Linked DNA regions of Drosophila melanogaster. The protein of the gene in region 1 interacts with the protein of each later gene in a pairwise test. Each region holds a gene or a part of one and is shown on either strand. Other genes may lie near its edges.

Region 1 (4,204 bases):
GGGCTCCTCAGCGGGCCAGTCAGTTCCGGCTTACTATACGAAGAAGCCGCGTGTTCATTGGAGTTCTCCCCAGGGAACTCGAGTATGTCTCCGCTTGAAACCGCTTTGCAGTCTTCTATGGTAACTGGAAACTGGACTCGGTTTAGCTAGGTGAAGGACATTAAGGAATCCGTACTCACAATCGCTGTCCGAGTTTTCACCTATCGTATCATTGTTCCTCAGGATCTGCCTGATATGTACAGCACTGTTTTCTTATGCTCTGAATTCAAAAACGTTTTTCAGCTTGAAATGTCAAATTTAATAATTTTTGCCTGCAGATTAGATATCCATAGGAGCGGGAGTTACACTATCGATTGCATTATAGTTTTTGGGGAAACAACAAGTTGACTTCCAAACTACAAATTATATCTTACAGTTATTATACCTGGCAGTAGCAATATACATATTATCAGGGGTATTCAGCTAGCTATTTCATAGCTATAAATGATTCCCAGGGAACAAAGGTAAAAATGTTGCACGTTATCGTCAGCTCATTTTCATATTTATTTTATTAAAACAAATTTATTTAAATAATTTAACTACGGTGCTCTTTGTCACTACGTGAAGGACAGCCTTAGAAAACAACACGGAAGTCCGCATGGAGCACTCAAAACTTTGAAATAATAATCCAATTTGGCGTACTTTGTGCAACATAAATTTTAATAATAAATTATTGTATGAATCTACGCTTGTATATTTACATATTTTGAGGTCAGTGAAATTCAAATTGGTATCCGCGGTCCACAAAGCTCAGACCGCGTTCCGAGTCGACTGGAAAGTCGGCGGTGAAGACAATATATCCTCTATATTCCAAAGAGCTCTTTAGGTTCTGCAATGGATTGATTGATTAGATAAAAGAAGAGCGACATAAACAAGAAATAGTAACCGCTCTATCCACAAAGTCCTCAAAGCCACTTAGGTCGTAGTAGAGCTTCAGAGGTGGCGAACGTCCAACTCCCGTCTTCTGCTTGAACGGCTCCCGCCGCTTAAGAATACTCAAGGCCCGTGGCAAAAATGTTGGCGTCAGATTTCGGCAGTAGGACACGTCGAGGTGTTCCAATCGTGGACAGAGTTCCACGAATTCTAAGAGGATTTCGTCGCTTAGGTCATTCCAGTTGCGCACGCAGAGCAGCTGCAGCTCTGTCATACAGGTATAGCGCTTTAGGTAGTCTGCCGAATGAGTCCAGCTGCAAATGGCCAGGCGCTTCAGCCTGCGATGCGTCCAGATGGGCAGCTTCTCATCCCAGCCCGGTTCAAGGGGCATATAGTACCCGTCCACGGCAAAGCCGACGATGTCCTTGGCCTTGAAAGCCATGATCTCGTAGAACTCGCTGACCTCGCGGATCTTGTGGTCATAGCTATCCGGACTGACCAGCGGGGGGATATGCCACTCGTTGTCCAGCAGCACCACCAGTTTCCTGAGGGAGGGCAGCTCCAGAACGGCGGGTAGAATGGGTTTCAAGGTGGCCAGATTGAGCTTAAGATCAGTGAGGTTCTTAAAGCTCTGCAGGCAGTTTCCCAGCTGAAGTTTACTGATCATATCGTACGTCCTAATGTCCAGGACCCGAAGATCGTGCAGCGTGCTGTGGCGCAAACGGAAAATGAGTTGCGAAATATTATGCAGCAGAAGGTTACTACTTACCGGCACACCTCGTCCAGGTACTTCTGCTGCAGCTCAAACGCCTTGTGCTGGTCCTCGTAGAGGTGCAGCTCCTGCAGGTGCTGGAAGTTGGATAGGTACCGCCCGTCGATGGGTGTGGTAAGGCGCAACTTTTTCAAGCCCGGCAGCAGGCGGGCCAGCTTGCGGATGCTTCGGTTCGTGGGATAGCAATCGACGCCGTCTGGGTCGTAGTAGAAGCTGGTCACCATGGGCAGCTCTGCAATGTGCATTTCGTCCAGATCTTTTAGAATGGAGCACAGACAGCTGCTGCCGCCCATTTCTCTGATGTACGGACGCATTTGGGTTAGGAAGTAGACCAGGTCTTCATGATTGGGCAACAGTACCCGCCACTTCTCCAGATCCAGTTGCTCGTAGGCATGGCTGGTGCGCCACTTGCTCAGACATATGTACTGCACTCGCCGGCAAGTCCTCGCGAAGGACACTTCCGACGGCAGGTCCTGCAAGCGATCGAAAATCTCGGCCAGACAGTCGTCGTCCAATTGCAGAATTAGGGATCTCGGCTCGGAAGCCATGGCCCGGGATGCGATCCTCGCGACACAATCTAGGTACAGAGTCTGTTAAAATAGCCGGAGCGAGAGATAGTTTCTGTATTCTGGATCGTTTCAAGCAGGTCAACTCAATTGAATAACAAACAAAAATACATTTTGGTGCTCCCCCAATGTGACCAGTCGTGGATGGTCTGAATACCTCACGCAAAAAACGTAGGTTCCTTACATTATGTTATATATACGCTAATTGTTTGAATACAATTTAATAATACAGTTTAGTAATTTATATATATATACATAGACATATAGACATATATATATATAACAAATTTAACAATACAAATTTATTGTTATATATGTCTATGTATATATATATATATATATATATATATATATATATACAAAACTAAAATTACAAATTTATTGTTATATATGTCTACATATATACATATACATATATATATATACATATATATATATACATAGACATATATAACAATAAATTTGTAATTTTAGTTTTGTCTAACGTAGCCTAGCGTTATTTCTAATTTCAAGATCTTTGTCGGTGTGGCATAAATAAATGATTACAATTGATTGGCATTTTCGAGTTATTCTTGGGAAGAATACCCGCTGCATTGACAGTGTTGAGAAACGGGGTGCAGGGGTGGCCACACCGTTGGCAGCCGCGTAGTGCTGCCATACCACTGATAAGTAGAAAACACGTGTGAGTGCGCATTCTTTTTTGTGGGACAAGCGGCTAGTAATTATTTGCGGACGGAAAATATTGACGAATAGTTGAATTAATCATGACAGACCTGCTAAAGATAGCCGATGCAATCGTCCTGGAGTACTTGCAGTCCAAGGACAAGAACCTAGCCAAGGTTTTCCAGCAGAAGACGAAGGCGGTAAGTTTCAGTGCAGAGCGGCAAGTGCAATATGTGCGGTTTGGATGCACCCGAAACATGTGGTATCTGCGTCCTCCTGATCTAGAATCCGAGGGCCTTGCTGTCCGCCGATGGCTCATCGAGCTGTCCACCTGCCACTTGCTGCAAGTGCCACGTGCTTCGTCCAGATAACCAAGAATTTCTGCCTTTTTCTAACTTGCAGGCCAGTGTCGCCAAAAGCAGCCCAAAGTTGAGTGAAATCCTTCAGTTCTACCAGACCAAAAGCCCCAAAAAGATCCCAGCAATCAAGGCGACAGCCGGAGACTCCAGCGAAGACAGCGACTCAGACTCTGAGTCTGATGCGGCGCCTAAGAAGCCAGCGACAGCTCCTGCACTAACAAACGGCAAGGCTGTCAAAAAGGCAGCTTCTTCAACCAGCGAGGACAGCGATTCAGAGGAGGAGAAGAAGCCAGCAGCAAAGGCCACGCCGGCCAAGGCTGTCGGCAAGAAGGCAAAATCCTCCAGCGAGGACAGTTCCTCGGAGGAAGAAGCACCCAAAAAAGCTGCTCCAGTGAAGGCACCTCCGGCCAAGGCGGCTCCCGCGAAGAAGGTTGAGTCCAGCAGCGAGGATAGCAGTTCCGAGGAAGAACCGGCAAAGCCCGCCGTCAAGGCCACAACGACTAAGGTTGCTCCCGCCAAGAAGGCCGACTCCAGCAGCGAAGAAAGCAGCTCCGATGAGGAGACTAAGCCAGCTGCCAAGCCTGTAGCCAAGGCTGCACCGGCAAAGAAAGCAGCATCCTCCAGCGAGGAAAGCGACTCCGATGACGAGCCAGCCGCCAAGAAGCCTGCCGTCCAGCCTGCCGCAAAGCCAGCTCCTAAGGCAGCCGCTTCTAGTTCCGAAGACAGCAGCTCAGAGGAGGAGGTCAAACCCGCTGCTAAATCTGCTGCCAAGTTGGCTCCTGCTAAGAAGGGGGCTTCCTCTAGTGATGATAGTTCCTCTGAAGACGAGGCACCCAAAAAGGCAGCAACTCTCGCAAAGCCCATTTCTAAGGCTGCTCCCACCAAAAAGGCCGACAGTTCCACTGAGGATAGTTCTTCGGAAGACGATGCTC
Region 2 (3,652 bases), on another chromosome or scaffold:
TCCTTACAGTATTCGGCGCACAAGAGTGATTTATGAGCGAGAGGAAGGCGTACGCCCCAGACGAGTGCGTCTGGTCGTCCTTGGTCTCGTTAACCTGCTCGACCAGGTCGATGCCGTGCATATTCGAGGGAGATGTCTGCAGATGTCGGAACAGGAGGTCCGTGAAGAAGTTCACGCCTTCTTCGCCGCCCAAATATTCCTTGACGGGTGTGTATTCGATTATGAAGTGCTTGAGCACAGCACAGACCACGGAGCGCTGGAAGAGATCGGAGACGGAGCGCAGGTGCTGGTTTGTCACCAGTCCATGGATGGCCCGGTAGTGCTCCTCCGGCGTCAGCTCGTTGTAGTTGAGGTCAAAGGCGCACTTGTCCTGGTTCTGCTCCTGCTCACAGAAGTCAATTAGCTCCTCGATGCTGGGAAAGATATTCAGCGCGACCAGTGTGGTGCGCAGTGCGATACAGTGGATCTTGTTGAACATGCGGTTCAGAAAGTCAATGATGGGGCACTCGTAGCGGTGATAGGTTTGCATGGCAATCGACTTGCACTCCTCGGAGCAGAACATCGTGGAACAGCAGCTGTCGCAGGGTATGAGGGTCAGATAGTTCTCCCGCTTGCAGGTGGCACACCGAATGTATCGCATCGGCGTCAGCAGTGTGGAGCAGAAGGGCTCCTCCACGGACACAAGATCCCCAACGGCCAAATCCCGATTGGTCACCACAAAGCGACCCTCGGCGGCGGTTTCGCGCAACTCCAAACAGTCGGCGATGAAGGGCACCTGGGCATGCGGTTCGAAACTGAGCTTGAACTCATAGGGCACCACATCCGGCGGTTGCTGATCGAGTAGCTGTTGGCAGTCCCTTTCTCGCTTGTCTAGTTTGTGGCTCAGTCTCGCCGGATAGTTGGCCTGCCTTGCCAGCTTGATATTGTCCAGGCATTGCCGATAGCGCTTCCACTCGAATAGTACCGCCGACCGATTAGCATAGCCGATGGACAGGTGCTCCGAATTCGGTTCGGCATAACAGATGCTTTTGTTGTACAGCTCTAGAGCCTGAAACGAGTCGCAGGGATTAGCTTAAGTTTGCCGATTGAGGGGGCAATGATTACCTGGAAGTAATTCCTGTTCTTGAGCGAAAACTGCTCGTTGCCCAGCATACGGAACTCCACGCTCCGCTTGTTGCACTTGTCCTCTCGAAGCGTTACATTCAGGAATATCTTTTCAATGTACTTGAAGTCAATAAGAGCGCGCATCACGAAGTCAACCTTGCGATGGTTCTCCTTCAGCTCGTTGAACTTGCCGGATATGATGCCGATTAGTTTCCAGTCCTGCAGCTTCTTTATCAGATCATCGCTCACGTCGTACACGTCCATCTCTTGTGCGGGGTAGTTTCGGAAGTCCTTAGTGTCCTGGAATTTTCTCCGGATCGGATTAGATCTGATCGGATGGCTTCGGATCCTTTGGTTCGGTCCGCGTGTCGACGCCGCCGCCTGTTTTTTTCAGCCGGAAAAAATGTTCTTTTGGCCCACTGCCGGTGCCGCGATTTCTTTAACTGGCGCAAGTGCTGACCGCTAATTAGCGATTTCACGGGCGATTACTATTCGGAAATATTCTAATTATGCACACGGCGATTTTAATGTTATTTTTTTGACGATTCCGCTGGAAGCAGTGTGGAGTATAGCCTGCGAATATATAACCCAGCACAGAGGGAAATGTACTAAAAAATGCCGCAAGTTGACTGCTTGCACTAGCCGCGACACAAACCCTTGGCCTAGCTTAAAATTGTTTACAAAAATATTTGAAATTTGAAATTCATTAAATAAAAACAGGATAAAAACTAACTATAAAGGCAGAATTTTGTAGGTTTCTGTTTAAATAATACAACGCCCAGCACGCTTGAATTGTGCCAAAATATATATGTTTAAAAAAAATATATATATATACATTATAAAAAAATATAACTGAGCTTTTGTTTACCGCTAGCTGTCACAGTGTCTCCACACCATTAACTGTAATAGGCGCCATCTTTTAAAGCCATTCCGAGTATGTGCACACTGGCGGCCGTTTCACTAACAAATTTCCTCTTCAAATCGTACGACGTTCTAGTTTTCTAAGAATCCGGGGAATTATTGGCAGCCAAGTTCTTTATTTAACAAACGCTCTGTTCTCAGGCGGCCGCCGCACCAGTCCGGTTCAAGTTGAAGGCAAGGGAATATTATTTTTAGCCAGTAGGCCACAGCTAAGTGACATCGTGTTGTGTCTAAAAATTTTGTTTGGCTGCGTCTGCAAATAAATCAAACCGATTTCGTATCAAATCTTGGGATCCAAATCAGCAGGAGGTGTGTACGAATAAAATTGAAAATATAGATATAAGCAAAAATAAAAATTTTTACGCAGAGATGCCCATCATTCGGCTGGAGTCTGCGGACAAGGAGATCTTTGACACGGATCAGGAGATCGCCAAGTGCTCGGAAACGATTCGCATTGCAATAGAGGATTTGGGCGATGAGAGCGACAACAGTGTGCTGCCGTTGCCGAATGTCAACTCGCTGATCCTGAAGAAAGTGCTCCACTGGGCCACCTATCACAAGGACGATCCTGTGGTTACCGAAGAGGTTGAGAACAAGGAGAAGCGCACTGATGACATCTCATCCTGGGACGCTGACTTTCTCAAAGTCGACCAGGGCACGCTGTTCGAACTGATCCTCGCGGCAAACTACCTGAATATCCAGGGTCTGCTCGACGTCACCTGCAAGACGGTGGCCAATATGATCAAGGGCAAGTCGCCGCAGGCTATTCGCGACACCTTCGCCATCCAGAATGACTTTCTGCCACAGGAGGAGGAACAGGTGCGCAAGGAGAACGAGTGGTGTGAGGATAAATGAATACCATCAACTTACCATGACGAAATTAAAGCTTAAATTTTTTGTTTAATCAACATTTCAATTGAGATAGTTAGCTGATCATGTTAAGAGTCAGCAATTGTTCTGTTGGGTTAATTAAATAAAATATTATGCTTTAATGTTGGCAAGTGCTCTTTAACAAAGGAATTAATGACAAACCGTTTAATGTAATTTACAGTGTTCTTCAATTTGGAATTTATATTTGATTTAGTTAATGTAGTTTAAAGGCCGTGGTCCCGATGGCATTCGCCAGATTGGTCACTTCACCCGGAATAGCTAACAGATGTGATGTCGACGGAGCCCAAAGCTAGCAGCAATCGGATGACGAAGAGGGCGATAACCACTTTGAGGACGATTCGCACGCAGGACAGCAACAGTCGGAAGCCGAAAAGTATTGCGTAGCACGTAGCCCCCAGGAACACCACGTATGTGATCAGATCGCCCAGAACAGAGTACATGGACGCGTTCCTGTAGACACATTCAAGGAACTGCGTGCCGCATTGTTCGCCATGTCCCCAGCCGTATTGCTCCCGTCCGTTGCCAATACTGCAGCTTTTCTCCATGTTTAGACTGACGTATATGCTGGATAAGCCGACAAATGGGACATTTCCTTTGTCCAGTGTGCAAAGCAAATCTTCCAGTTGGAAAAAATCAGCTGTCTAGTGTGACCGCATTTCGATCGTAGTGGCAGCACTGCATTTTTTCAAAACATCGAGGTATGAGAAATGGATAGAATTTTTATAAACGTTACTCG

The links.
Region 2: the proteins of CG7148 (region 1) and SkpB interact in a two-hybrid assay, tested with the Drosophila melanogaster proteins (2 studies listed by BioGRID).

The regions. Positions count from the first base shown.
Region 1 is NT_037436.4:21,829,865-21,834,068, forward strand, and holds CG7148 (uncharacterized protein), read right to left. Parts: upstream 2,390-4,204; 5' UTR 2,233-2,389; coding exon 1,682-2,232; intron 1,623-1,681; coding exon 926-1,622; intron 869-925; coding exon 752-868; 3' UTR 680-751; downstream 1-679. Other genes in the region: Nopp140, read left to right, coding at 3,015-3,113, 3,316-4,204.
Region 2 is NT_033778.4:12,138,667-12,142,318, reverse strand, and holds SkpB (SKP1-related B), read left to right. Parts: upstream 1-2,089; 5' UTR 2,090-2,334; intron 2,335-2,392; 5' UTR 2,393-2,394; coding exon 2,395-2,880; 3' UTR 2,881-3,024; downstream 3,025-3,652. Other genes in the region: Smyd4-4 (SET and MYND domain containing, class 4, member 4), read right to left, coding at 1-1,048, 1,105-1,368; CG18343 (uncharacterized protein), read right to left, coding at 3,162-3,461.